4 linked regions of the Drosophila melanogaster genome follow. The protein of the gene in region 4 interacts with the protein of the main gene of each other region in a pairwise test. Each region holds a gene or a part of one and is shown on either strand. Other genes may lie near its edges. The genes, in order: hec, crq, Eno and CG14864.

Evidence for each region.
Region 1: the proteins of CG14864 (region 4) and hec interact in a two-hybrid assay, tested with the Drosophila melanogaster proteins (one large-scale study listed by BioGRID).
Region 2: the proteins of CG14864 (region 4) and crq interact in a two-hybrid assay, tested with the Drosophila melanogaster proteins (one large-scale study listed by BioGRID).
Region 3: the proteins of CG14864 (region 4) and Eno interact in a two-hybrid assay, tested with the Drosophila melanogaster proteins (one large-scale study listed by BioGRID).

The regions. Positions count from the first base shown.
Region 1 is NC_004354.4:12,951,043-12,959,861, forward strand, and holds the start of hec (hector), read right to left. Parts: upstream 6,421-8,819; 5' UTR 6,176-6,420; intron 3,542-6,175; 5' UTR 3,498-3,541; coding exon 3,323-3,497; intron 2,792-3,322; coding exon 2,491-2,791; intron 1,936-2,490; coding exon 1,845-1,935; intron 1,780-1,844; coding exon 1,688-1,779; intron 1,587-1,687; coding exon 1,460-1,586; intron 1,367-1,459; coding exon 1,265-1,366; intron 1,022-1,264; coding exon 903-1,021; intron 779-902; coding exon 705-778; intron 642-704; coding exon 262-641; 3' UTR 1-261. Other genes in the region: CG32642 (uncharacterized protein), read left to right, coding at 8,240-8,507, 8,591-8,819.
Region 2 is NT_033779.5:447,174-455,284, forward strand, and holds crq (croquemort), read right to left. Parts: upstream 5,852-8,111; 5' UTR 5,404-5,851; intron 4,130-5,403; exon of another isoform or gene 4,057-4,129; intron 3,706-4,056; 5' UTR 3,622-3,705; coding exon 3,493-3,621; intron 3,368-3,492; coding exon 2,262-3,367; intron 2,148-2,261; coding exon 2,057-2,147; intron 1,998-2,056; coding exon 1,848-1,997; 3' UTR 1,081-1,847; downstream 1-1,080. Other genes in the region: ex (expanded), read left to right, coding at 1-76; shv (shriveled), read left to right, coding at 6,089-7,097, 7,157-7,212.
Region 3 is NT_033779.5:1,723,304-1,731,680, forward strand, and holds Eno (enolase), read right to left. Parts: upstream 6,334-8,377; 5' UTR 6,225-6,333; coding exon of another isoform or gene 5,526-6,224; exon of another isoform or gene 5,429-5,525; intron 5,161-5,428; exon of another isoform or gene 5,000-5,160; intron 4,930-4,999; 5' UTR 4,751-4,929; intron 4,578-4,750; 5' UTR 4,531-4,577; coding exon 4,343-4,530; exon of another isoform or gene 3,450-4,342; intron 3,353-3,449; coding exon 2,038-3,352; 3' UTR 1,465-2,037; downstream 1-1,464. Other genes in the region: Rim2 (replication in mitochondria 2), read right to left, coding at 579-625; Rrp40 (ribosomal RNA processing 40), read left to right, coding at 5,526-6,224; CG31937 (uncharacterized protein), read left to right, coding at 6,681-7,646; CG17652 (uncharacterized protein), read right to left, coding at 8,100-8,377. UniProt on the Drosophila melanogaster protein: Enzyme of the glycolytic pathway. Glycolysis is essential in glial cells but not in neurons; neurons rely on the citric acid cycle for their energy needs, and on lactate and alanine secreted into the hemolymph by glial cells to fuel it.
Region 4 is NT_033777.3:15,265,463-15,270,747, forward strand, and holds CG14864 (uncharacterized protein), read right to left. Parts: upstream 2,968-5,285; 5' UTR 2,911-2,967; coding exon 1,267-2,910; 3' UTR 1,222-1,266; downstream 1-1,221. Other genes in the region: ATPsynO (ATP synthase, oligomycin sensitivity conferring protein), read left to right, coding at 199-228, 465-908, 971-1,126; Zip88E (Zinc/iron regulated transporter-related protein 88E), read left to right, coding at 3,301-3,549, 3,619-3,878, 3,942-4,143, 4,275-4,653, 4,723-4,733.

The sequences.
Region 1 (8,819 bases), on a different chromosome or scaffold from region 4:
GATCAAGCATACAATTATTTGTTTTTATCAATAATTCATATGACTAGAACCTTTCTTTTCTAAATGCATTTCGGGCATAGTATCCCAGGATAAAAAATATAACAGGAACATTTTAAATAATTGAAATCAGTATGCATTTTAACAAAATTAAGTTATAAAAAAAAATATTTTGCTATCATGAAATAAGTGTGCCGGACTGGTCTTCAAAATCTTTGCTCGGCGATGCGGTCAATGTTACGATCGACCCTCGCGCGGTACGCCTTAAACGCCCAACTCTCGGCTGGGCGTGGTCGTGGCCATCTGTCCAGTATTACTCCCGGCCGGCGGCGGGGTCACTAAACTGGGCAGCAACTTGTTCAGCAGCGTGCGAATGGCAAAGGTGACATCGTGATTGGCGAAGCAGAACAGGAAGGAGACCACAAAGCCCTGCAGGCTGACCAACACCACCGATAGCATCTGATAGAAGTGGTCCAGCTGGGTGCCGGCATCCGGACGGTAGGGCAGCAGGAAGTGTTGCAGTCCGAACAGCGGTACCAGAATAATGGTGGCCCGAACCGCCTTCCGGATGGCCAACGGTGCCGGCTGGGCGGACTGGGGATGTAACTTTCGCACGATCACTCGCAGTACGTTGATCAGAAAAACTGTTGGGTAAAATGCATATAGCTGAGCAATATTGTACTTTTAAAGAAAATTATGCATATTACTAAAGCTGGCCAGCAGCGAAAGAGTTATGGGCACCGAGAAGATCCACAAGTAGAGACTGTCAGTTATCCAGCAGCTGCAATAATGTGAAAAGAAATGTTACCATGGATATAGCGTAGAATGTAATCTCTTAATAAATGCAATGCAAAAACCAAATCAATCAGGATTATGTCTTGTGTAAAATTGTGAAAATAACTTACTGCTTATTGTCCGGACTACTGAAATGCCTGGCCAGACCGTAGACGATGGCTATGGGTATGGGTGAAAACCAGCTGATGACAATAAACCAGCGCATCACAATCGTGTCCTTGACAAAGACCTGGCGAATGGAAAGAAGAAGGGGCGTCAGGATCTGAACGGACATTCCTGACATCTCAACTTGACGCAGACGTAAAGCAGTTGGCCAACGTTGCGATTTGCTCTCAGACAAATTGCTGGGGGTGAACCATTGCCATGTCAGCGGCTGCAGGAAATCACATCTGCCATGCACAGAAGTCGCCCATAAAGAATGCAGACTTGTGCAGGCAATTGCCAGATTGCCAGACGAGTAAGGATAACTCACCACAACGAGCACCAGGTGCAGGTGCAGGCCCTCGCAAAACATCCAGAAATAGTTGACCAACATAAAGTAGTGCACCACCAGATGCAGCCCAATGCACCACAGCTGAAAGTTAGTTATGTTTATGGTTTTGTATAATTGCCTAGCTACTTGTAGGGCTATGTTATTTTCATAGTTACTTTTCTCAGTGCATCTTACCGGATTTTCGGCTATGGTTTCGGAACGCTCCACCACCAGACGATACCATAATATCCAGGCCACACAGGTGCAGGCCAGCGAGGCGAACAGATGTACATGGATGCGGATGCGGGTGCAGCGCAGGGATCTGCAAACGGAATGGAACGGAACGGAAAGAAACGAAAAGGGATATCCGGCCGTCAGTTACCGGAGGGAAAGGAACCGTGTGGGTCGTAGACAAACACTTACTTGAAGCCCAAGAAAATAATAATCGATATGAGCAGGGCCAGCAGGGAGAGGGCATAACCCTTCACGTACAGCTCGTTGATGAACTGGCGAAACTGCAGTGGCAACTTTCTTGATTAATGCCCATGTACCACCCGCTTGATGCCGCCGAAGCACTTACCTCCAGGTCCTCATAGTCCACGCAGTTGGTGTAATTGGACCAGGTCTGATTGCTAACCGGATGACGGTACCAGGAGCCGTTCTCCAGGCAGCTATGAATGCGAAATGCTTACGATAATTGTGACTGGCTAAGTGCGGACTGATGGGTAAAGGGGGTATTTCTAACAAAGCGCCTGACAATGCACAAGTTACCCAACTTTACCAGGAGCCAGCTGAGCTCAGTTGGCGTGTAAAGTGAGATGAACGCTATCCATTAAATTGGAGATACATACATGTAGTGCAAGTTTTAGAGTGCTGCTACAGTACACTTAGGGAGATTATCTCTGCAAGAGTTGAAGAAGGTTTTATTTTTCTTTCATTTTCCATCATCTTTTTCTGAGATATGCTGCGAGTTTATGTAATAGACACGAATGTAAACTCTATAGGATTTTCCCTGTTTGTAGCGCACTCATACATAAACATTGTATTTTATGACACACAGAACACATTAAAGCAAATGCCGAATATGGCAAGATATTTTCGAATTTATGCTCAAACGAATATTACATATTGCAGAGCTTATTTGACCATGCGAAATCCTGAACGGAATGAAAATCTATCCTATTCGTGGTGGCGTAATATACAGGCATATTGGGCATTTAACTCACGTCTTGTGGGCCAGAAATTTTCTGTTGAATCCTTCGACGAAATCGGGACAATATTGACTCAGCACAGTGCCGGCCGGAGTCCTTGGCCAGCAGAGATATCCGTCAAAGTTCAGGGGGCAAAAGAGTCGGTTCTCCTTCTGATTTGTGGCCATCGTGGCACTGACGACGGTGGCCATCAGCTCCTCCTTCTCCGCCAGCTCCTCGTCCACGTTTCGCATGTCAATAACGCCCTCGTTCATCGCGGCATTCTCCAGATATCGCGGCACTGGGCTAAAGTTCTCCGGCAAATCGGAATCGTAGTCTGTGCACGGCGACAAGTGCCATTAAAATGGGTTTACTTTTTAATGTATAAAAATATAGCATTTTTAATAATAGTATCTATGGGCTGCATAACTGAAAGTGATGTAATTCAGTTTTCAAGTTCAATTCAATTGCATGCTTGCTTTACATATGTAAAATAAAGTGGTATTTCAAATGTACATAACTTGCTTAAGATAGTTAATAGATCATCGTTCTTTATAGCAGGGTATAATTCATAAATTCTGGTTGAAAATATATGTACATTTGGTAAAGGTGTTGAGTGCTATTTAAATTTATAAATTTGTCCTGAGATGCCAATGATTTGCATTGAAACGAAAACCCATGTTTAAATTTGCATCCCCAAGAAGTAAGTCAATGATTTTGTATATATTTAAATACATTACTTTGAAATGCATTAAATGAAATCAGATGGGCTGTAATTTAATTTAATTCTCTTCTCTTTCTTATCTGTCTTATGCCTCTGCTATTTTTTCGCGGCAAATCACGTATACGCCTGTTGGCCGCCACTCACCTGTTGCTGGGCCAAGTGAAAATGATGGGTCGTCCGTATCGTATGTGACATTCTGGTATCGGAACACGCACTCCGCATACAAATGCTTTAAAAATATGCGCAGATTATCCTGCGTTTGGGCCTGCGATGCCACATCCACATTTTGCGACTCCGAATCTGAAGAGGTTGTCGCCATTGTGGGTTATTCAACGTGACTAACTCTTGTCAACGGCTAATGCACTAAAAAAAAATATAATAATATAAATATAATTCAAAGAATTACGGGATAAATAGGATAATCAACTGCAATAATTTATCAGAGGCAATTTGAAAGGTTTTAAACAAGTGTTGCTTACCCATAGAAACTTGTATGAGCTAGTTTTTAAAATTTATTCTGATTTAAATATATTTTCTTATATTTAACATTAGTTCTCACTGTATTTCGCCATAGCGAAGCGAACTTGAGTCCCTTGTGGCCGTCCATTCGTGTGTGCATTTCTAATTTGGTTAGGCTTCAAAGAGTTGCCTGAGTTGGGTTGATATTTGTTGTGGGGTCCTGTCTGCGGGGAAATGGTGCCAAAGGAAATGGAATATCCACACGGGGCACACACACACACTCAAAATATCGAAGCACCTGAGTGTCGTGTGAGCCGAGTCACCTACTCGTCTCTCATATGTTGTAAATCAGTTTATTGTCTAATTAATGGCGGTGCTTAACTGTGTCGCTATTTCTGCTACCGTGGTTGGGCGAACTTAATTGCATTTCGTCGCACAGAGAGACAAAGCAAATGCCACGGGTTAAAAACTCAAATGAAATGCACTTTGATCGTGGGGGCACACAAACACACAAACACATAAACACACTCACACACCCGCACCGAACACGTGGCCCAAAAGGCGGGATGAGCTGCAAAGTTCTTGCCTAACTTGGTTATATTTTTAATCAAAACTCATTTCACTTGATTGAGTTTCGACAGAAGCCTGCACCAGGCACTGGAAAATCTAGCATGCACGATACATACAAAGTAAGATGATTTTCCCGCTCCCAAGCTAAACTTTAATTTGCGGCATTAATTTATTACACCGAACTGGGACAGTTTCCCATGATGGATATGACGCCTGGCTAAACATTCTTGCATGTTATATATATTTTTGCAAGTGTCTCGGCCAGGCAATTAGCCGCAGGTAAGCGGAGCATGACGATGGAAGGACCAAGGACTAGAGCGCCCTTTGTTGGCCATCAATTCAAATGGCTGTCTTGAAGCACTAATGAGCATTAATTGCATTCACATTCCCCCTCCTTTGAATTAAATCCATTGCAGAATTCCCGCTTTATCATTTGCTATGAGGCAAATTACACTTTAAGTGGCACTACGCTTATTCAACAGATTCCATTTCTCACGCTAGTTAAATGCGTATAAAGAAATACCGACTACAAATATGTTTTTACTAAAACAATTATGGCTCATCTAATAGCACAAAAAGTTAAGTATATTTTTTTTAGAATATTTCGCAATTACTTTTCGCTGTTAGTTAAAGAAGCATTTTGCAAGCAAGCTGCTCTCAGCAATAGTGAGAAAATGTAGCACTGACTAAACTAGACAACATTTTTACTTTTACTACTTTTTTACTTTTACTACAGCCAGTTCTAAACAATTTTAAATTAGATAAACTACTTTGCCCAACTATAAAATTTCCCTTGCCGTTTTGTTTTAACGACTACTGACTTGGCGAAAAAAAAAGTATGCAGGGAAATTACAAGAAAATCTGAAGCGCGCTGTGTGGCCAAGATTTTGCTCCACAAAACTAAGGAAATGCTTCAAGGAATACGCAAGCATCTGCAACATTTTTGGCAAATTGTTTTGTTTTGCATAGTTTTTGATGCTGAATACTTGGGGAGGAATAGCAGCCATAGGAATGGGGGAGCACTCATTTTGGAGCATTCATAAAACACAAATAATTTGAAAACGTTTGCTTGCATAAATTATGCACGATATTGAAATTTATTGTCAACAATGGGTGGCGAAAGAGAAAGGACTTATTTTTCTTTTGTTTTTTTGGCGACAGGACCGCCCGCTGCAAAAGATACAAATGGCCAATCAATAGGGGTGGGAGCAAAAAGCTGCCAGAGGAATAATTATATGTACACATGCTGAATATTGATGATGAATTGTTTTGTCTAGCAGCCTAGCACAAAAAAAAATAAAGAGAAATAAAATTAATAGAGGCGGTGGGAAAAGCCGTCAATGCGGTTAATGATGCTAGCGCCATTTGCAGGCCGGAAACGGAAATGCCACGCAAACCGACTAGCACACAAACACACACACACACACACACATAAACCAGGACACGCACTCGAAATGAAAGCGGACATGCGAAATAATGCCACATTATTCGGCCATTCTTGGCGGATCAATTATAATAACAAATTACTTCATCCACATCGCCTGGGTCACCAAATGCAATTACGCACGCCGGACTGGCCACGAATCATCATCCGGAATTCCAATCCCCCGGACGGATCTACTGGGCATAAAAGTTGCCAACCTTGCGAATTATAACACTCATTTCCTTATTTCCTGCCAATCACTGCCGTATTTTCCCTGTGTAGCGCAAAAACTTTTCGCATAAAACAACCGCAAATAGGATGGGGCTTGAAATCGAATTATTTATTTGTACTGTGTACGCAAATATTTAATTCGATTGTTTACTTAATTAAATGCTCGAAAATGAAGTCTCATGCGGCGCAGTAATTATGCTAATTATTTACTGAAATATTTTTTGTTCAAATATGTTTCAAAATTATATTCACCTGATATTCGCATAAAAGGTGTCGAGAATTTACGCAAAAACAGGTGCCAACAGATCACTTACATGGGGCCCCACAGTCAATTGAATTCATTCAATTGTTTGCCACTGCCATTCATTGAAAACTTAAACAATTGATTCGGTTTCAGTTCACCGCTCGTCACGTACAGCAACAGCACACAAAAACACAAAAAAAAAAAAATATATATTAGAAACACGGACAAAAAATGCGCTTTATGTTATCGGTATTCAAAATTGGCTGCTCCACTCCGATTTTCGCACCGCTCTGCTCCGCGTGCCGCTGGCAAATGGTACGGCATCCGGCAAAAACCGCCTGCCGATGTGGCTGGCAGTTTCCTCATATTTTCCCCATTTTCCCCATTTTCACGCCCATACACCATACTGGCACACTGAAGGAAATGTACGAAAAAAGAGAAAGTGAGAAAGTGGGTATTTGCATTAAAAAATATATATTTAAACTACAAATGTCAAAAGTATCTTCATCTTAATTTAAGTTCTAGCACACTTCTTCTAATAATATTTGGCATTAAAAGTGAGAATACATTATCGATTTTATTTGAATAGTGTAGAACTTATACTTTCTTTCAGTGTACGAGTACTGCTTTGCCGAACACTGCTTGCCAGCAACAAGTTGTCGGCGCACTGCTTCTATGCCTTTGTGAATTGCTTGTCGTGGGCGTGTATAACAGTTTTCTAGGTGGGCGTGGCGCACACAGCTGGGACCCACAAATTCCTAAGGACTTCGAATTTTGTTAAAGAAATTTATTTAACCCAACTGGGTCTATCCAATTAAAAATATATATTTATTGGCTTACTTTAATCGTGTTTTTATAAGGATAGAAGTAATAATAATATTTTAATATAATATTTTATTAATTTAATAAAATAATTAAAAAATCTATAGAAACCAATAAATTTAATTTTTAACTCGTTTATCATCAATACAATCTGTATATAATAAAACGACCTGATAGCAATTCTTTAGCAATAACAATTGGGCAAACAAAGGGTTAAGACTTCTCAAGTACAAGGATACTGGTGTTTGTTTCACTTTGAAACTGCAGTTAAAAGCATTTGATGCGATTGCAATGCAACTTTATTATTATCATGCAGTAACCTTTAAGATTCAACTTTAGTGAATACTTCGTTTCAGTTCACTTCAATTCTCGATTCATGTAAAATACCTCAGCAAACTTTCATAAAATTTATTCCTGAATAGCTGATGATGTCCTGCATAGCAAGCGTGTATAAATATTTTATGCGGTTATCTGACGTTTCTTTAGACAAAATTGACATCGACTTAGGATTGATAAAGAATTCTTTACAAAATGTAAGAGAATTTCATATAAAATGTATTTCACAATTAGCAGCACACAGTGTGGTGTGAAAATTTCTGGCTTCTCAGCTCGTAAAATGGCATGCCGCCCATAAAAGTGAATTTAAGGCAAATCGCCTTTGCAATATAATTTTCTGCACATGTCCGCAAATATATGTAAGTGCACTTTACTTTTATGAATGGTCAGGAGCAAGAACGAGATTGGGTACAAGTTTACACCTTTTAATTGTTTGCTTATAACATAGTATTACTTGGTTACCTGGCTTGTACTTAAAGTTGAATCACTGTAATTGTATAAGCCAAGATTGATTAAACTTCGGCTAAACTAAGGTAACATTTGGACCTTTGTGATTAATAAGCATTGTATTAATACAAGCATGACGACATTTTTTTATGCCACTCTCTTCAAAAGAAGAGTGCAAGATTAGTTAGGTCAGGTTCTATCGACATTAATCCAGTTAGCCACGTTAAGAACAATCTGGCGCCAGTTGAGCGAGCTTAAAGTGCTAGTTGGAGAGTTTAAACAGCGGCAAAGACAACGATTTTTTTGTTAGGTAATACCATATTACTATGGCATAGTGTCACCGCACTTCGGTCGCACGTTCCGTAGTGATAAAAGCCGGGGAGACGGGGTTTTAAACATAAAAAAAAATGCTCGAGAGTGATGTAAAGACCGTAATCACATGCACGTTCCAGACCCCATTTCTCAGTCGTGTCGCTGACCCATAAAAGCGGGGATCTACATGGTCAGCGACATCAGTTCCATCGGCAACATGTTCCATCCAAGGTCTCAGTCCAGCTCCTTAGCTCTACTCCTGACATTCGTCCTGGCTTTCGTCGGCGTTAAGGGGGACTACGATTGGTATAGTGATTATTCGGGCTCTGAACTTGACTACATCTTTGCGGATGTCAACTACGATGCAGTGTGCCCACCAGGTGGTTATGCTGTCTGCGCCACCGATGGCTATAGCTACCATCCATTCTCGAGCAAGTGCCGCCTGGACTCACAGAACTTGAAACTGTTGTTTGCCGGAAAGAAGGGTAAGTTCTCAATTCATATCCTTGTTTAGGCAACTATGCTGGGATATTTTGTTAACATTCCTTTCTTGATTTTTTTTTTACAGAACTCATCCAAACTGACCTGAGCTACTGTCCCTCGTATCCCCCGCGGCCGTATGGTCCGCCAGCTCCTGCTTACGGCTATCAATCGAAGCCAGTTCAGAATTATGCTCCGGTTCGTTATTCCTCATCGTCTGGCCAGAATTCGTATGCCTATGCCGCTGCCAGTGGGCCCTATGGCGCCAAGGCGGTGGCTGAGGCTCCGGGTCCATATCCTGTGGCCTCTCCCTCCTA
Region 2 (8,111 bases), on a different chromosome or scaffold from region 4:
CAACAACTACGTGATCGATCCCGCTGTCATGATGAAGCAACAGCAGCAGCAGCAGCAGCACAACAAGACCAGCTAGACTCGACAAGCTAATTGGAAACCGGAACGGAAGTGGACATTGGGGGTCCAATACGACACTCTTCTCTCTAGTTCGATTGCTGTTCGAAGTGCTGATGTATGAGTGTGCCCAGGTGAAGAGCTAATTCTGCGTTCGGAAATTTGCATAGATCGGGTGGTGTAGCGTTATATAAATTCGATCACAGTGTTTCGAAGGGTAAAGATTCGCCGGGCACAAAAGGGTAAATGTAAACGAAAACCCACCGTGAGAAACCATTTGTCAGAACAGCAGAAACAATAGCTATTTAGTAGGAACTAACATGCATTTAACTAGCGAAGACAGTTTTTTAGAAAAACACAAACTAGCAGGTCCACCAACTTCAGATGGTAAAATACACGAGCCACTGAAACAACTGAATATCACAGAGTCAATACTTAAGCCTACAGGACGTGAGCAACGTAACCTCAAAATACACATTCAAATAATCAGAACCCAGTCTAGTCACTTAAGGGAATTGGTAACGTAACCACAGCACAGACCACAACATGACACAACATCGGAAATAGAGAGGAAGCTTATCAAAATGGGAAGCAACAATACTCAAGTATAAAATACGACCACTACCTAATTTACTAAACTACATCGTAGATCTTTAGTCTTAGCTGCAAATACTTAGTTAGGCCAGAAATGCGAATACTTAAAACTAACTACTTCCGCCCAAACAACTGTGATTGATTTTTATTTAAACTTATACTAAATTTATAACTATTTTAGTCACCAAGAACAACGCAACATATACTATGCAAATTTTTTAGTACGTAGCAACGTCGCTCTTTATACACACACACACATACTCACAACGAATCGGGCCAGCGGTAGAATCAAGTGAAAAGCATTCAAATCGGCTATGAAATGGTTTGAAATGGGTTTGCTTGCTCCGATCGCTGGACGAAGGGAACTAAAGAATTTCAAGAGTGCCTAGACTTGCCCTCCATCCCCACCATAGTAATAAGCGAGAGATGATTATCATTTATTTTTTGTATCCACTTTGTTTATTATTTTTTGTTCGATTAATAATCCCCCACTGTTTTTTTGGATGTGTTAGTGTGCGTGCAAAAATTAATTTGAGTTTTTGATGGATGTCACAAATATTTGCGTAGATTTTTCTCGACTAAAAGTCTATGGCTAAATTGAGGAATGTGATCTTTGAGAAAATGTAAAATTTTTGCCATATATCTTACATATACACCAATATATATACATATATATAAATAAATATATATACGTATACAATTATTTTTATTTATTAATTTACAAAACAACATTTGAATAATGCATTTATAAAGCAAATCGTTAAAGCATCCAACAATCGTATACGATAAGTAAAAGTCCTGCAGAAAAGCATACAGAAATTGTAAAAAACTATCTTTTCAAAATAAATGAAAATTCAAATAAAAACGTTAAAATAAAATGCACGGAGTGTTTTAGTTGTATGAAGTATTGTTTATCAAGTACGATAACTTAAGTCTCAAACAGAAAGTTTCAACTTGTGAATGATTCGTGTAATATGCAGATAGAGTAAGGTTTTTTTTTTAGAGTTAGAGTAGTTTTTAGTTTTTTTTTTAGAGTAGGTTTTGCTATCACAAACTGCAAGACGAACGTCGATTCGTATCACTTACATATTACATAACGCATAACTGACAAAGAACAGCATTTGACGGGCGACTATCAGAATGAACTAGGAGAGTTAACAATTCCTGGCACTTTGGCAAAGCTTAAAAACTATTTTGCTCTAGTTGGTAAGTATGTCCTCATCCTCGGGAGTTCGCCGCACCCACTTTTTCGTCACAGTCAGCGTGATGCCGGTGATGAGAAAGACACTGGCAAAAGCTATCATGGAATAGCCGAATATGATTCCGTAACTGGACAAATTAATGGCCAACTGAAATGGAAAGTATGGCACTTAAATGAAAGACATTTCAAATATGGATTAGGTCTTACCTTGGCCTTCGATGCCAATTCGGAGGAGAGCTCTGCATACTGATCGAACCAGAACATGGGCATTAAAACCTTTTGCACTCCACGATATATGCTGCAAATAAAATTTACTTTATGACTTACATTTTCCTTGAGACCTTTGCTTTTATGTACGTAATTGTATGAATCGTATGAGTAGTTTTTATCCATGAACTTTTACTTTACTTACTCGAAGTCGTCATCGGGCTCAATCATCATATTAATCTGGATGCGTCCATGCACTTGGACAGGCACTCCAGTAATCGGTTCCACGGCTAGGAAGAACTCGTGCTTCTCCTTCTCCGGCTTCATTCCACTGACAGCATCAACATACGACTGATCCGCTAGGTAAAAGTGAGGGAAGGAGGAGTAAATGGGTGCTTTGTCTCGGCACGCCTTGCACTCCACGACACCGGTCTTGGGACATTCATCAAATCGCGCCTCATCACAGAAGCACGCCTGGTTAGGGTAGTTTTCTCCGGAGTCCAGAGTCTCCTCGGTGCCTACCCACTTAGTGGCGGTCAGGCCGTGATTCTCGTATGTGCCCCGGGGCCGGAGGTTCATAAATCTGCAAGCATCGGTGGCAAAAATCGTAATCTCATCGTTTACATTCATCTTTGGCGGGAACATGTCGCCCGTGGTTCCATTAACAATGCCACAAGGCATCTCGTAAAATCCAGTTTCTGATTTTCCATTCCAGTGGGTAAGTCTACCCAGATTAGATATATCGTCAGTGCCCGTGTGAATAGTAAACAAGCCATCGTAAGTCAGCGACTCATTGCGGTCCGCCAGCCACCCGAAGCGTTTGTAGGGTATGTCGATCTTTGTGGTGTTGAACAGGTTTAGGAAATCGGTAATGTTATCCTGGTAACCCTCGAAGATCCATTCGCCCACCGGCTTGGTTACGTACAACTTTCCGCCTTCATGGTTCAGCATAAAGTTTATGATTTTTTTGACGATCTTGCGCTGGTCTCGCATCTCATCCGCTACCGTGGCGGTAATGGCATGGGCAGCAGTCACCATGTCGTCCAATGTGCCATTGGATCTCTCCGGATCAAAGAACCATGTGCGGCGCTCATAATATGCCACCGTTGCATTATCGTAAAACGTATAGTTCTCCTTCTTGTGCTTTTCCAGGAAGGTGTACGGACCCATTTCCACGAAGTTTGGCTTAATGTCCGGGTTCCTTATGTCCTCGGGATTCGTCCAATTGAACATGTAAAAGCTCAGGTAAATGGGGATAGGTGCCTCCAGCCAGCTTTCATAGGCATCAGTCCCGGGCTTGAGGGTAAGGCCCTGGGTAAAGATTAAGTTCATTTTAGTATGTCGAAATGAAAATCTTTTTTTTTTTTAGTTATCGTTCGGTAAACATATTTCCCTGAACCTGTAATACGCAATCTCGGACGGCTAAATATACTTACATCCTCTACAAGGTTATCTGCAATACCCGGCCAGAAGACCACGATTAGTATTCCCAGCAAAAGGAAAACCGATCCCAAGCCGAAGACCCAGACCTTTCGTTGAGTTTCCCCGCAGCACTTGCAGCACATGGTGGATACGTAGGATTCCAAAGGTTCACGCTTTTAAGGAATAGCCAAGGTGGGAATAATCCAGCCCTAGGCAGTTAGTTGCATCTGGAAGTGAAGACAGTTTGTGGGGTTATTTTTCCTTGTATAATCAATGTCCATAATCCGTATCGAATTTTTATTAGTTTATTTCCCGGTACACCCATCCTGGCACCCTGCAGAGTTGGTAATTTTGAAAATAATAAGACCAAGGCTTATCGCCGGCTGGTCCCTGCTTAAGTATTCGATAAGCATCGGCGATTATAAGTGTATATTTTTGAATATATTTTGCAGTCCATGACAGTTGGAGAAGATTACGTGGGACAGCCCACTTATCCGCACAGTCAACTTCAAGTGCAGACATCCGCAGATCTATTCAGTTTTCTAGCACTTGCCACTGTTTAGGTCGCCTAAACTTACTAGTTTTCAATCAAAGGGGATCGAAAATATTCCGGCCTTAGCACAATCGGAACTATCAAAACCGTACGCGTCCCCTGGCAGGGCGAAACTGGTGGCCAGCGGTCTACTGTGTGTCTTTTAATGGGTTCACTTGACGTTCAATTACCACTCGGTTCGTTTATTAATCTCTGGACTTTGCTAGTCGGGAATATTTGCTTGATTGGCATTAACTTGGATGCGTTTGGAGAAACACAAAAAAGAGATCACTCTACTCGAATTCCTCGACTTTCAGTTACTCGTAACTCAGGTAGCTGGCTGCCACAAAATTTTAATATTTTGGTATTCAGAGTGGGTATGTTGCAAATATTTGTAGCATAGCGATAGAAATGAAAATCTTATCTTTCTAACATTTATAGTTCGCGAGATCAAAGCGTTCATGCGAAGGCGGATGGCTAGATCGACTCGGGTGGTTATTCTGATCGAGTGAGTAGGTTTTATGGCAGATTGATTTACAATAGTTAAAATTCCTTTTAATATTATAAACATTTATAATTATGGTAATTTCATGCCTAGATGTTATTTATGTCCATGCTTGTCTGCAATTCAAATTCATTCAAGTCTAAGATAGTGTTTAGTATCGTTATCTGGGTAATACCCGCATTTCTCGGCTATTTGCTTCTGTGGTTGGTTGGTCAAGATGTTCTCACAAGGGGTTCCTATTTATGGCACTGATAAGATTAGCTTTGTGGAGATACTGATAATTCGGTCGAAATATGCTTTACTATACCATATCAGCCTTGATCCGTCCTGTAATCCAAAGTTCTTTTAATGCAATAGGAACGGGGCCTGTTTTTATCGTAAGTCTGGTGCATATCGTATTGCAATTTCGATTCCCTGCTTTGTTTCCTCCCGTCGACTGACTCAGTCTTGTTTTTGTCGGATTATTGGGCTGGCTCTATACTACAATGAATATTTCTTTGTTTAACGACTGATAACAGGCAAAAAAGGGGGTCTGGAACTACAGTAGAGCCTTTTGAGCTTGTACGAGTCCCAGTAGGATAACTCGAGAATTCATGTTAACTGTTTAAGGCGAATTAATATTAATAATAATTGATTAATATTAAATGGTTTTTAAAATAGTTTGTTGTAAACTGCATTGTGTATGCACTATATATGTTTACTGCATGTTGTCTCTCTTTTGAGGGCGATAGCTTGCATCCCGTGAAATGTTTGCTTTCTGGTTGAACTTAAACCTCGATCAACTTGCGCTTAAAGTGTTGACATCACCAGTTGCGAATTAGGCGTACAGTTATATTCACGTATTATTGCACATTACCGGCTGCATAATTAAAGTGATGAATTACTCACCTTTTATCTCACACACAACTACGTCTTTTAGCATTAGCTTCTGATGGCTCTGTTATTGTTTTGCTTTGGCCTTGACATTTATTATGCCATAGTTCGGAGTAAATTTATTTTTCTGGGACTTCCCGCTTCGATGATCGCTTAGTCCCTTTACCTTTGGTGCCTGGAATCGCAAAAGTACCGTACGAAAGGGATTCAAATTGTCAGACTTCCCTTCTTATTACTTTTACAGCTAAACTCAAGCGTGGGAAGCGCCTTTGGAATTGATCTGAAAGCTGCTATCCAACTAAAAAAAAGGCACTTTCGCGTTGCCGAAGAGGGCAAGCAGAGAAAGATAAACTGCAAACTTGCAGTTTGCTGGGCTAAATTGGATTAAACAATTTATTTCTTTATCTTCGCTGGGCGAGTGTGACCAGAAGCGTTTATATGCGCTGTAACAGCACTGTAAGCAACGTTGCCACAGTTTTTGGATTGACTGTAATGCGAAACAGCTGTTCTGTTAGAGAAGTGGTGACAACCCTAACGACAGTGCCAACCAATCAGCGCAGACCACGACTCACACACACAAACAAAGCTGCCAGCGGCGACAACTACAATTTTTTTACACTTTTGCCAGCATTTAAAATCGTATTTCGAATCAGCTGGTTAAAAAGAATGAATTGCTGAATCAAACAGGATCAAAAACGAAATGCAGCTTATCAAGTGCTTGGTTATAATTCAGCTGTCCCTCTTGCTGGTGGAGGAGTCATTTGCCGGCCGGGACTTCTACAAAATACTGAACGTAAAGAAAAACGCCAACACGAACGAAGTGAAGAAGGCGTATCGCCGTTTGGCCAAGGAGCTGCATCCGGATAAGAACAAGGACGACCCGGATGCCTCCACAAAGTTCCAGGACCTGGGAGCGGCCTACGAAGTCCTCTCCAATCCGGACAAACGGAAGACCTACGACCGCTGCGGCGAGGAATGCCTCAAGAAGGAGGGCATGATGGATCACGGTGGTGATCCGTTCTCTAGCTTCTTTGGGGACTTCGGCTTTCACTTCGGTGGTGATGGCCAGCAGCAAGATGCTCCGCGAGGCGCCGATATCGTAATGGACTTGTACGTTTCCCTGGAGGAGCTATACTCCGGAAACTTTGTGGAAATTGTGAGGAACAAGCCTGTAACGAAACCCGCCTCAGGCACCAGGAAATGCAACTGCCGCCAGGAGATGGTCACCCGGAACCTTGGACCCGGGCGCTTCCAGATGATCCAACAGACGGTGTGCGACGAGTGTCCCAACGTGAAGCTAGTCAACGAGGAGCGCACATTGGAGATCGAGGTGGAACAGGGCATGGTCGACGGCCAAGAGACGAGGTTCGTGGCCGAGGGGGAGCCACATATCGATGGGGAGCCCGGCGACCTCATTGTGCGGGTTCAACAAATGCCGCATCCGCGATTCCTGCGCAAGAATGATGATCTGTACACGAACGTGACCATCAGTCTGCAGGATGCCCTTGTCGGCTTCTCCATGGAGATCAAGCACCTTGATGGACACCTGGTGCCCGTCACGAGAGAGAAGGTAACGTGGCCCGGCGCTAGAATCCGCAAGAAGGGCGAGGGCATGCCCAACTTTGAGAACAACAACCTCACCGGCAACCTGTACATCACCTTCGATGTGGAGTTCCCCAAGAAGGATCTTACGGAGGAGGACAAGGAAGGTTAGCATATACATTATCACAAGAGTAATTGTTTCATTAATAAACGTTTCTAATTCTAGCGCTCAAGAAAATACTCGACCAATCCTCCATCAATCGCATATACAATGGACTGTGAATACCCATGTTTCATCCCCAATAAAAGTGCTCGCCGGCTGTACTCTAGTTTTTAAATGCCTAACTAACAGGGCGACTTTGATTTGGGAACGCCCCTAATTCAAGAGATGACTTTGTTCAAAAAAGTTGTGCGAAAACAATTTAATTTTAGTTTAGAATTTTGTAAAATAGCAAAAGTGTAATGAGAGGGAACTATTAAGGCGGTTCCTGCCGACAAAAAGGAATTGCAACAAAAACCAACCCCCACAAAATAAAGCGGATTTAAATTATATACAACTTTGCGGAAGCTACTATTTTTGATTTACTGTTTTTAAAAGGGATTTTTTGATTGTCTCAGAAATAATTTAATTTGAAAACTATTATATTAAGACAATCGATAGGCTGCATTATTGCAACCTTGGCTCAGCTGTCGATAACTGGCGCAGGAATCCGCAAGAAGGGCGAGGGCATGCCCAACTTTGAGAACAACAACCTCACCGGCAACCTGTACATCACCTTCGATGTGGAGTTCCCCAAGAAGGATCTTACGGAGGAGGACAAGGAAGGTTAGCATATACATTATCACAAGAGTAATTGTTTCATTAATAAACGTTTCTAATTCTAGCGCTCAAGAAAATACTCGACCAATCCTCCATCAATCGCATATACAATGGACTGTGAATACCCATGTTTCATCCCCAATAAAAGTGCTCGCCGGCTGTACTCTAGTTTTTAAATGCCTAACTAACAGGGCGACTTTGATTTGGGAACGCCCCTAATTCAAGAGATGACTTTGTTCAAAAAAGTTGTGCGAAAACAATTTAATTTTAGTTTAGAATTTTGTAAAATAGCAAAAGTGTAATGAGAGGGAACTATTAAGGCGGTTCCTGCCGACAAAAAGGAATTGCAACAAAAACCAAC
Region 3 (8,377 bases), on a different chromosome or scaffold from region 4:
GCCGGCCATTGTGTGTGTAGGGTGCAGGTGAAAACAAAAATAAATTCAGATGCGACGCGTCTAAAAATAGCCGCATATAAAAGCCACAATAAAAGTCCATAAGGGAAACAACAACAAAGCAATTGCCTGTCCAGGGGAATCGGAATGAATCCAAGTGGACATTGCCTGCGGAAAATGAACCCAGAAATGCGCTGTTTATGAATGTTTGTTCGCTGCAGGCGCGCTTTAATTAATTACATATGTTCTGCGTATTTCGCTCACTTTAGCTGCGATTTATCGAACAACAAATACCCTTCTTTTAATGCAAAGCACGTGAACGTAGCATGTTTCCCGAAGATCAGTTTGTGTTGTGTGTTTCCCTGCGCTGGCCGCATTTCTTTTTCGGTTTGCTCCCTTTTGGCAGTGGCGCCAAAATAGTTCAGCTCCCCTTCGTGGGCCAGCCCAAATCTAATCGCCAATTGCGCCGTTCCCGCCGAGCAATTACAATTAGAGGCCGGGAGCAAACCGGTTTCGTTCTACGCTGATGGCCTGACCTGCGATAAGACGCAGTAGGGAGAATGTCAGGCAGGCAGACTTACCCGCCGGCGATCAGGTGGATGAGAGTGTCGGCCGTGTTCTGGGCCATCTTCGTTGTCTTCCCAGTTCCGGAATAGGCTCCACCGAAATGGGCGGCTACTTGGACGCGCACTTGGTTTTAACTTTGGCAAAACGCACTATATTGTTAAGGCACTTTGTGGGCGGAGGTGTGGGGGGCGGGGCCCCAGGGGGAGGGGCTCTTAGCACGCTCTCCTCTCTTCCTCTTGCCACTTTCTATTGTCCTTTGAACTTTTGGGGCTTTCGCTTGGCCGCGATTCTCCGACTTTTCGACTTGATTTTCGGCAACGGTTATGCAACTGCAGTGGTTGCAGTGCTGAGCGTTAACTTAACCTACGGTTAGCTTGCGCGCAGTTAAAGTCCGTCGGTCGGCCGGTGCACTGATTCGATTTCGAGCTCGCCGATCCCTAGCGTTTGTGATTTAGCTTTGCATTAATTTATTTTCGATCCGATGTAAAAAAACACGTCCGTGAGAGTGACCGCACTGCGACTGTGGAAGCATACCGCCGCTGCGAGGCGCCAAGAAACGACCTAAAAAATACCAACAAACTGGGGAATTCAACGGTTCTGTGCGAAACTTTGAGCGCCATTTTGGTCCACCCTAGAAATTCAATTTTATTCACAGAAAGTTGAAAAAGCTTATTGAAATACTCGACTAATTGGTGGAAAGCAAAGATAAAGATAGAAAAAAGATCGTATTCAAAGTTTAATAACTTCATTCATCAGTTCAGAGATAATGAATAATTCAGATCCATTCAATCTTAATCCAAATCCAGAAAATGTTTTAAGATAGTTGCCTTTACTTTAGTTGCCCTTACTTGAGTTTACTTGATTATCTGGCAACGCCACAAGTGATCGAAGAAAAGAATTCAGTAACTTTTATACTTTTTATTTCACATCAACTAACAAATCTGAATATGTTTAATATTTGGTGTACTATTCCATCTGATTAAGATCTCTATTGAACACCGTGTATATTCGATAAGAATATTCCAACAGCTTTCGCTTAAATTCTATGTCTCAACAATTGTTTCATAACCGTTTTTGAAGTGAATAACTTGTCTGTTTGTGGATTTGGTGTTTGTGTAGATCAATTTATAATTTCATAACGATTACAGCGATTACATTGAAGATATTCAAAGCTCTCGGCAACTGAACGAATATCTTGCACATAGTGTTTTTTATTCTTTTGTTTATAAATAATGATTAGATCAAGGTTTAGCATTAATTAATAATGTCTAAGAACGAAGCATAGAGACAGCAAATGGGTTTGGTAGTTTAATTCTGATGTATTTGTGCGCCAGACACAAGTTCCGAACGTAAAAGGTTGACGAACACGTGCACCGCCGCCTTTCCATGGATCTACTGCGTCCAGCTCCCTCTCCAAGATCCAGATCTCATTCGATGGGGCTGGTGTGGTTGGAATTTCGAAGTGCCCTGCGCTTACTGCGGCTTCCTGAACGACTTGCCGGCGAACTTGACGCCAGCGCCGATCTCCTCCTCGATGCGCAGGATCTGGTTGTACTTGGCCAGACGCTCCGAGCGGCATGGAGCTCCGGTCTTGATCTGGCCGGTGGACAGACCGACGACCAGGTCACCGATGAACGAGTCCTCGGTCTCACCGGAACGGTGGGAGACCATGGTGCCCCAGCCGTTCTTCTTGGCCAGCAGATGGGCGGCAATGGACTCGGTGACGGTGCCGATCTGGTTGACCTTCAGGAGCAGGCAGTTGCAGGCCTTCTTCTCCACGGCGGTGGCAATACGCTTGGGGTTGGTCACGGTCAGATCATCGCCCACGATCTGGATGTCGGTGCAGCCGGTCAGGTTGGACCAGGCCTCCCAGTGGTCCTGGTCAAAGGGATCCTCAATCGAGACGATGGGGAAGTCCTTAATAAACTCCTGGTACAGGTTGGCCAGCTTGTCGGCGGGCAGCCACTGCGACTTGTCGCTCTTCTCGTTCTTGAAGTCCAGATCGTACTGGCCATCCTTGTAGAACTCGGAGGCGGCCACGTCCATGCCGATCTCGATCTTGCCGGTGTATCCGGCCTTGGCGATGGCATCGCTGATCAGGTTCAGAGCCTCCTTGTTGGACTGGATGTTGGGGGCGAAGCCGCCCTCATCGCCCACAGCGGTGGCGTCCAGACCGAACTTGGCCTTGATCACATTCTTCAGGTGGTGGTACACCTCGGAGCCCATCTTCATGGCCTCTGTGAAGCTGGTGGCGCCGGTGGGCAGGATCATGAACTCCTGCATGGCCAGCTTGTTGCCGGCGTGGCTGCCGCCGTTGATCACGTTGAAAGCGGGCACCGGCAGGATGATCTCCTTGTTGCCAGCCAGATCGGCAATGTGTTTGTACAGCGGCACGCCCTTCTTGGCGGCTCCAGCCTTGGCCACGGCCAGGGAAACGCCCAGGATGGCGTTGGCTCCGAACTTGCTCTTGTTCTCGGTGCCGTCCAACTTGATCATGAAGTTGTCAATGGACGCCTGGTCAACCACATCCAGATTGGCCTTGATCAGCTCGGGTCCCAGGGTGTCGTTCACATGGCCCACGGCCTTCAGCACCGACTTGCCATGGTAGTTGGCCTTGTCGTTGTCGCGCAGCTCCAGGGCCTCGTGGACGCCAGTGGAGGCGCCGGAGGGCACGGCGGCTCGGAAGAGTCCCAGCTCGGTGGTCAGGTCGACCTCCACGGTGGGGTTGCCACGGGAGTCGTAGATTTGACGGGCCTTGATCGCTTTGATGGTCATCTCGTTGCTGTCACTGAAATCAAAAAACAAAAAACAAAGTCCACGAGGGCGAATTAGTGTCTGTTATCAGGACTTTAAATCTAGGCATGGTGTTCTATTAAATAGCTGACCGCAGATGAAGCCATTCAGATTTTATGGCGGATGTGCTCCACAATATTTGCGAAATCCCCGCCATTACTTAAATAGTTGGGCTTATTTATATTTAAAATTGTTCCAAATGGACAGTTAAATGATATGTTTCGTGATGCAGTGAAATATTCGGAAATATGTCGAAAAAGAAATACGAACTAGAAAGGAAATGGGAGATACACCTTTGACATACTTTTGGACTTGGTTCTCAAAATATGGTTAGATATTAATAAAAAATTATTTTTTTTTGCAAAGAATTGTAGCTGTGAGCATGTAAGTCACTTGCAATTTGAGCTGTGAGTGGTGTAAACTTATACATATATCCCCATTCGGGTGTGACTTTCTCCACGGTATAATCTCGAAATGCCCCTCCTGAGTTTTCTATATTTAATTTGTCTTCAAATTTCAGTTAAATATTTCTATAATAATTTAGAGTCACTGACACTGGCGGCATTTCCCGCTTTTCCGCTTATCTCAGTGGGAGAGTTTTCAGTTTGCTCTCGCCGAACAACCGAATGACCTCTAAGCTACTTTTAAAGGTCAGACCCAAAGTGAGGCGTCCAGCGAAGCCGCAGTACGTGGAAAAGTTGCGAAAAACGGAAGTATCTCCCTACAGCGATACAACAAATGCCTGTCAATTGAAATTATTAGATTTGTGCAATTAAATCGATTGGAAATATACGTAAACGAGACACTTGAAAATTTGCACAGCACCATTTGTTAGATAATCGCGCGGATATCGCTCGCAAAAAACGCTCGATTTTCAAGCCCTTTCGATTGGGGTGATCTTTGTGAAGTTCGCAGATAAAACAATTAAATATTTTCCCTAAGCTGGATGCACAAGCACACACCAAGAGTCTAGCAATATACATACCAAGTACTTTTGCGGATCTGCACAAATTTAAATCCAGATGAGAGCTGGCTGACTGCTGATTTGCTTCTGAAACGCGGCGCAACGTTTGCCGATTTATTCTGGGGAATTCTGGGGAGAGGCCAGCGCAGACGCAGAAACTTCATGCTAGTGGTGGAAGTCCTCAAGAAAACTGAAGCGGTCCAAGACATGGCTTGAATGTGTAAAAGACGGCGGCGAAAGTGCTACCAATTTGTATCTTGATAAAGGAGTAAAAAATATCATTTAAAATATATATTTTAGTTACCTTACATGAAACTATAGCTCTGTTGCAAGCTATATGATAAATTTAATATTCATAAATTTTAAAAGCTCAGCTTAGGCGATGTATTTTTGCCCATCTCTAAGTGTGGAAAAGAGAGGGACACTTACATTTACTCTCCTTTTATATGTATGCGTTTCCAGGTGCTCGCCGGTTTTCAGTGTGGGGGTGCGCTTTCCCTTTTTTGTTGTTTTCCCTGGTACGTTTCCTATATTTTTTGGGGAAAATTGACCTTCGCACAAGGTTAGAGTAATCGGGATCCACACGTAGCTGTGGATTGCATGTCTATCTACATAATAATAAATGCTCTCGTTAATAAAGCATAAACAATCAAATGGCGTCAAGAGAAGTGTAACAACCAATGATAATGAAATGTTCCCGTGGTTTCTGGACAATCGGGTCATTCAAAGTCACATACTTGTGGTTAGTCACGCTTTTTAGCTGCCATAAATTAGAACAAATAAATGCAAAGCGGATTTTAACAAATCGTACGATTATGCTTATAGCAGCACAGCTGATCGGGAAAAAATTGCATATGTGTTGGTTAACATTGCCGCCCACACGCTGTTAGCTCTTTAAAACTTTCTTTGCATTTTTAAGATCATTCAGTAATATAGAACAATTACAATTTGACTAAATATAATTTTTCTGTTACTTTTTTAAGTTCATCTTAATAATTAAAATCGTAAGCATTTTGAAAATAATAAAATAAGAAGGGGCAAAAATAATTTGAATATTTATGTTCTTTACAACTACTGTTAAATTTAACTTTAAGACCAGGGCTGACAATGGCAGTGTTGGAAAGTCCTCGACTTGACCATATGTTTTGAAAGACACACGCGGATTTTTTGTTTGGAGTTTTCAAATCGTAAAAGCAACATTAAAATGAGCGCGACCAGCACAATAGTTATGCCCGGTGAGCGAATTGCGGCCATTGAGGAGCTGGCCAAGAGCAAGCGGGTGATACTCGGACCGGGACTGCGGCGTCTGGATGACACGGTGGTGGCTAGCAAGGCGGGCCCACTTCGACACAAGGAACCCGGCACCTTCTGGGTGGACAACTACCAGAGAAGGTACATCCCGGCACGCGGGGATCTCATTCTGGGCATTGTGCGAGCCAAGGCGGGCGATCTGTACCGCGTGGACATCGGAGCAACGGACACAGCCTCCATATCGTATCTCGCCTTTGAGGCGGCCAGCAAGAAGAATCGCCCGGATCTGATCCCCGGTGATCTGATTTACGCGAGAGTCCTGAATGCAAGCGCGGACATTGAACCGGAGCTGGTCTGCGTCAACTCGGTGGGCAAAAGTGGCAAACTGGGCGTCCTCACCGATGGATTCTTCTTCAAGTGCAGCCTGAATCTGGGAAGGATGCTGCTGCGGGAAAACTGCCCTGTTCTCGCCGCTCTTACCCGGGAACTGCCCTACGAGATCGCTGTGGGAGTCAACGGCAGGATATGGTTGAAGGCCCATTCCCTGAAAGAAACCGTGGCCCTCGCCAATGCCATTTCAGCGCTGGAGCAATCGGGATGTGCGGAAATCGACAAAATATGTGGCAATCTCGGAGACTTCCTGCAGGCCTAGGATTAGTTCTTAGTTTACTTACTTTTATATAAAAAGAAATGGTTAGCCAAACTGATGGGGTTGAATTTTGATGTGAATGTTGGCGCAAAGGCAGTGTGTTGGAAGCCCTGATTCGTTTACGTAAAAAAACTATCAGAGATGAGCAGATGGAAGCGTTTTTCGTATCTTGGATTATGCTCTACATGTTCTCTCAAGAAAGATAGTACTACCCTTACCTAGCTACCAAAAGGTATTTAAATAATATAGCATCATTCAAAAACCAAGTATAAGGGTTTTATGTCAGATAAGGTGACTACTTTCCGCAGTCACTGCGTCACCTCTGGTGCCCACCAACAGCTGATCGATCAGACCCGCTCGCAGTGATTTCTGTGTGGCCAAGAACAGGTTTCAGTGCCTTCCGTTGCGGCAGAGGACAAAGGTTTCTCCGACCCAGCCGTGCCATACAGAGCCAACGAGATGAGCTTCCTGGAGTTTCTGCTGCTCCTGCTCGTGCTGTACTATGTCGTGTACGTGCTCCTCTGGATCCTGCTCGACTGCAATGTGGCCCTGTGGTACAAGTCCCGTTTCGGAGTCTCGCTGTCGTCGATGCGCGGACAGGTGGTTTGGATAACTGGTGCCTCGAGCGGAATTGGCCGCGCTTTGGCGCTCAGCTTGGCCAGGCATGGAGTGAAATTGGTGCTAAGTGCCCGGCGACTGGAGCAATTGGAGCAAGTGCAAGAGGAATGCCTAGCTGCAGCTCGCGGACTGCTGGCCACCAAGGACGTGCTGGTCATTCAAATGGACATGCTCGATCTCGACGAGCATAAGACGCATCTCAACACGGTGCTCAATCACTTTCATCGACTGGATGTCCTTGTCAATAATGCTGGCCGATCCCAGCGAGCCAGTTGGACCGAAGTCGAGATCGAGGTGGACCGGGAGCTGTTCGAACTGGATGTCTTTGCGGTGGTCCACCTCAGCCGCCTGGTGGTGCGCTATTTCGTGGAGCAGAACGGCGGTAGAGGACACATCGCTGCCACCTCCAGCATCGCCGGCTTCAGTCCAGTGCCATTTTCACCCACCTACTGTGCCGCCAAGCACGCCCTTAACGCCTACTTGCTCTCCCTGAAAGTGGAGATGCGCAAGCTGGATGTGTCGCTCTTCGCACCGGGACCCATAGCCACCGATTTCCTGCAGGAGGCCTTCACTGGCTCGCAGGGCGGAAAGGTGGGTCTGAGTACGGCCAATCAGAAACGGATGACGGCCCAGAGATGTGGCGATCTGTTCGCCGTTGCCTTGGCCAATAAGATGGATCTCACCTGGTGCGGCCTCTTTCCCGTCAACCTCTTGGCCTACTGCGCCCGGAATCCCACGCTGAGCAAGATTCTGGCTCAATTGATGACCGAGAAGACGCTGAACAAGATTCGCGAGGGCAAACTGTGAGAACAACCCCGGTGTGCCTCGCCCCTTCCCTATTCCTGCTCCAAACGGCTCTCAGTCATCTTTTATACTGTTGTATAATTCTTAACTATATACTAAAATATATAAATATGTGCACAAGATTAAGTTGAGTGTGCGTTTCAATCGCGATAATCTTCACAGGCACAGTGGGATTCTACAGTTCCTCCCATTCAATTGGTGAGCAATATTGTGGTAAGCTAATAATCAATTAAGATTTATGAATTCTAAAATATTCTAGTTAACTTAAGTCATTAACCAGTAATTTAGTAATCTATCATCTGGTTCAGATGCATAGATTTTTTTGCCATTATAGAAGAGGGCATATTACACTCAGGTGGCTAGTTAAAGCAGCTCCTCCCACATTATAATGATTTGTCAAGACTGCAGATTACCTTGCATTATCTTATATTTATCTACTTGATCAACCATTCTAATCTAATCTTTTCCTAGCGCTGCCTTGACGTGCGCTGGGATCTTGACTCGTTTTCGTTTCGCCTTGGTTATTGCGGTCTGCTCAACTCCTTTGAGCTGTTGCTTCGCCTTGTCCTTTTTGCTCTTCTTGCAGGACAATGGATTGGGGTTCTTGGGCCCTTTGTGCTTCTTGGGTTTGACTGCAGTTTCAGCTGGCTTCAGTCCCTGCTTCTCCTTCATGTAGTCGATTTTCTCGACCTGTTTGCCCAGCATTAGGTTTTTGGCCCGTCGTTGCACCCACT
Region 4 (5,285 bases):
AATATCATTTTTAAAATGAAAATTCGCTTTTATTTAACTAGCTAGTATAAATCTTAAAATCTAGCTATTTTTTGTAATCGATAACTGTCCTGCAACCCTTACGCCATTCAAAACAACCCTGCCACACGTCGAGTAGCAAGTAACGTAGCCCTGGTCACAGCTGAGATTTTTAGCTGAAAAATTGTCGGGATAAAAACGATGGCCTCTATTAACAAATTGGCACTTTTGGTATGTTATAATGCGAATAAATAGAAAAAAGTGAACAAGCTCCGGTCAATGCCAAGCCATTTTAAGTGCATGTCAAATTTTTATTGCGTTTGCAACCCGCTGTCGCATATGTAGAATTATCTAACGCGCGTTTCTTGGTTATGTAATTTTTGCCCATCTTAACCCACGAACCGCGGGTAGTTTATGTTTAATAAGCCGAAAAACTTACCAAGTGCTCTTGTTTGCTTATCCCGCAGAGCCGCACCCTCAGCTCCGCTGCCGCCCAGGCGACGGTGAAGCCACCAGTGCAGGTGTTCGGTCTGGAGGGTCGCTATGCTACCGCCCTGTATTCGGCTGCCTCCAAGTTGAGCCAGTTGGATCAGGTGGAGAAGGATCTGACGGCCCTGCAGGCCACCATCCGTAGCGACAAGAAGCTGCGCGAGTACGTGACCAGCCCCATCATCAACAAGAAGGTCATGGCCACCGCTCTGAAGGAGGCATCCGAGAAGCTCCGCTTCGCCCCGGCCACCGTCAATCTGTTGGGTCTGCTGGCTGACAACGGACGTCTAAAGAAGCTGGACACCGTGATCAATGCCTACAAGACCATCATGGCCGCACATCGCGGTGAGGTCGTCTGCGAGGTGGTCACCGCCAAGCCCTTGGATGCGTCCCAGAGCAAGCAGCTGGAGGGTGCCCTTAAGGTAGCTACGCCTAGCTTCTGTCTTGTCTCACCCACTCAATTTATTGCTCATTTGCTTTGCAGTCTTTCCTGAAGGGCAACGAGTCTCTGAAGATCACTTCCCGCGTGGACCCCAGCATCATTGGTGGCCTGATCGTTTCCATTGGCGACAAGTACGTCGACATGAGCATTGCCACTAAGGTCAAGCTCTACACCGATGTCATCCAGACCGCTGCCTAGACTCTTAAGGATTTGCTCTTGATTTAGATGGTCAAACTGAAAGTTTGGTATTGGAATTCAAGCGGTAATAGCGAATAAAACACTCTTCACCCTTTGAAAACCAACAAAATTTATTCAGAGATATGCGCACTAGATTTGGTTTATGATTTAGATATATTTTTAGGATCCGGTATATCTGTGCACTGCAGCTCCGCAACCTTGTGCTGGATTGTCTGCTGCAGAAGGCTGTGCTGCTCCAGCAGATTCTCCAGCTCCTTGATGCGAGATCTCTGCAGTTCCAGAACCTTGGTGAAGTTACTCGTGGCCGGGGACTCAAGCCAGTTGATTAGAAAACTATTATGTTGCTCTTTATTATCGTTGGCGTTTTGTTGAGCATCAAAATTACTCTTCGTCTTGCTATCTAGTGTACTCGCATCCTGCCCTGGGTTGGGGCTGCAATCATTCAAAGGACTCTCCTCCAGGACCAGAACATTGGTCTCGTTCGAGGATCGACAAACTCTGTAATTGGGCTTGTCGATTTCCGGGAACACAGCTCGCTCATCATTTTCGGTCAGATCGGACTCTTGAACGCAAATCTCTGGAGGCGGCGCCATGGGACGTTGCTTCGCCGGAGAGCAGCACCCATCTTCATAGTCATTATTCCGGGTGCCGTTCATAAGCAGCACGTTGATTGCATTTGAAGTTCTTCTCTCGCCGCCGCCACAAGTAAAGTTATTCGAATTATTGGTGTATCCGCCAGATAAACCTGTCGCTGAGCTTCCAGTTTGATGGCTGAACGAGCCGGTCATCTTGGTTCGCCTAACAGGCGAAGAGCTCTGAGTCTGCAGCGTCACCGTTGAGCACTGCACTTCCTGATCCTTCAATTGCTGGGTGATGCACGTCTGGCAGCATTCGCTCTTCAGCTCCGGCTTTTTCTTCGTATTCTGCTGGTTCATCGAACTTTTAATTTTGTTGTTACCTCGTGAAGTTGGCGATACCGGGTAGTTCGGGCTACTGCGGAAATCATCTGCTACAGTTTTTATGTCCGTTGTCCTGAAAGCTGGACAAGTGAGACGTTCACAGGAACTCTGTTTTTTTGGGCTGCCTTTGGAATTATCCTTTCTTTCTTTATACTCTTTATTTATACTTTGTTGGCTGCCTGAATCCTCTTCTAGAGGGGCTACCGCTTTTTTGATCCCTTGCACTGGACAGAAACTACAGGTGCATCCATCACAGGTGCAGTTTACAGCTCCAAAGGTCGGTTTATTTACCCTTGGGCTTAATTTCATAGGTGGATTATTTTTGTTCTCTAAGTTTGTGGCCCTTGTTTGTGGATTGGGATACTTCTGTCCCATTTGGGTGTATGTATTGCCCTGGAACATGCTGTTGCAGGTGTTTCGAAAACGACAGCAACCATTCGTACATCTGTTCGCGCTGCTGAATTCCTGCCTCTCCGAGCCGAGACTCTGTTTGCTTTGGTTCTGGATCCGCTCGTTAGTCTTTTTGCTGATGGAATAGCCATGGCCAGCGTCCGATGCCGAAGAGCTCCACCTGCTCCATTCCTGCAGGCCAGCTTGAGTCCTTGCCCTGCCAGCAGCACGAGACGAGCTCTCCGATTCCGAACCTGATCCGTGGCCATCCAAATGGGAGGCGCAAACGCATCCGTGCCGGCATAGCGATTCGGGGTCGACGTCAAAACTGCTGAGGTTGGCCAAGTTCTGCCACCGGCGAGCCTCCGACATGTTGCGCGGGTAGACGCACTGCTCGCCCGGCTCCTGGCCACAGATTATACAACGACGATGCATTTTCCAACGGACAACCAGGACGGAAACGGTAAAATTTTGAATTTTAACTACAGGAGCATTTGTCGAAGTGCAAAACTATAATTGGAGAGGGTGCCTACCTTCTTTTATTGAAATTCTTAATGGTGGTGGTTGGTAAAAGAATAGTTCTAGATTTAAATGTTTAAATAAAATTAAAAAAAAAAAAAACCGTTTAAATGAGTGTGATCTGAAAGGCGCACTGCTGAAATGCCTTACTTTTCTGTGGCCCCCCCATTGTAAGGCGTTTTGGTATTTCGCACGAAAGCAGCTGCACACACTTCGCAACTGTTTAGTTTAAAAATAGTAAATGCAACGAACTTTTGTGTGTTTTACTGGCCCCCTTCTTGATGACACAGTCTGGCAGTTGATACAATGAGCTTGCCAACCGACGGTCTAAACATGGAGATCACCCCAAGCCCCACCCTGGCTGCCACGAGTCGCGGCGACTTGGAAAAAGTGCTGGCTATGCTGGTCCTCGGACTCGGGAGTCTTTTGTTCGGATTGCTGCCCGCCTTTATATCGGAACGGAATCGTCGCCGCTTCCCGCTGACCGCATCCCTGCTCCTGTGCTTCGGAGCGGGCATTCTGCTAGCCACCGCACTGGTGCACATTCTGCCCGAGGTAAGAGCTTGGACTGCGATCGTGTGTGTGGCTGCAATTTGATAACCTGCTGACTTACGCATGCAACAGGTGCGCGAACAAATGGACTCGAAATTCGCTGAGGTTGCCATGTGCGGCGGGTTCTTCATCATCTACTTTATCGACGAGTTCATACACTACTTCTTTGGCGAGGCCATTCAGCACACTCATGCCCACGATGCAGAGACTCCAGCAACCGAGCCACCAAGACGTCCCACTAATGACAATGGTTATGGCGCAGTGGACGAACGAGCGCCCCTTTTATCAGCGGAACCCAATACGTCACATGGGCATTCGCACCATCATAGCCAGTAGGTTTATTGCATTTCCCTTCCCGCAGCCAAAACTAATTGCTTTGTGCTTCGATTACGCAGCGATCATGACCACAATCACCCGGCCAGCGCATCTGGCTGTAATGATGCCAGTGTAGAGGACGCCAACGCCCGCATCTGCCACACCAGCCACACGGAACCCTGCGCCCAATCCATGACAGGCACTCTGGGTCTCTTTGTCGCCCTGTCACTGCACTCGGCCATCGAAGGACTCGCCATCGGCGTTCAGAACTCTTCCACAAAGGTCTGTGCCGCCTGCCTTGACATAGTTAGACTAGATCGGCTATAGTGCGCAATCTTAGGCAAATATTGAAGCAAAGAGATGCGAGGGCTTAGTCCAATTAGATAACCGGAATCTGCTTTGTCTCGTCGTAGGTTCTGTTTCTTCTAGGGGCCGTCGCCTGCCACAAGTTCGTGATGGGCTTTTGTCTGGGGCTCGAGTTCCGCTCGAATCCGCAGACGAGTTTTCGCGCCCAGTTCGTCGGCATTTCGGTGTTTGCCCTGGGCGCCGTCATTGGCATTGGCCTGGGCATGCTTATCGTGGACGTGCCCGCCGCTTGGTCCAGCAAAACTCTGCCTATCGTCCAAGCTCTGGCCGGAGGCACACTCTTCTACGTCACCGTCTGCGAGGTGATACCGCGCGAGAAGGCGCGCTGGCACTCGAACTCAACGCGACGCTGGGCGGGATTTGCACAGTTTGCAACTGTGCTCGCCGGCTTTGCGACCATGTGCATCATAAACTTTTATCTTTCTGGTGCGTAGCATTATGTGATTTGCATTTCCCTTTCGACATTGCTGACCTATTTTCTTCGCGCCTTTTCAGATGAGGATTAGACATCTTTTCGTTGAGAAATCGTTTCAGCGCTGTGAGAAAATGTGCCGCTTTTTAAACTTAGAACACTTAGGATAATATTATGGATTGGCAGCTGTTAATCTCTTGTGTAAGACTTGTTACTTGTGCATTTCCAACTAATCTTGTTTTAGGTACATTGTCGATCTGCCGTAGGATAAGTAAAAAGTTCAGTCTTCTCGTCTACATTTATATTTTCTCTTTCTCCAAAGTTTGTGTTATTTTTTATGCTTTTATTATATGTAATAAACCTTACAATTAAGTTGTTAATCAAAAAAAGGGCATCCTCTTTTCCTTTTGATTAATCTTACTTAGCCAACCATTAAACGCAATCATTTTATTACTTTCTGGGGACATCATGTCACTGTTTTAAACGAATTAAAACAACATCTATGTAACTACATCTCTATATGTATGTAAATAGGCATATGTGTATATATATATATAGTGTTTACCTAATCGTGAAATGTTGCTTGGTTGCTCTATTGGTGGTGTATGTGTGAAGAAACGGACACTCATAAATAGCTAAATGTTGG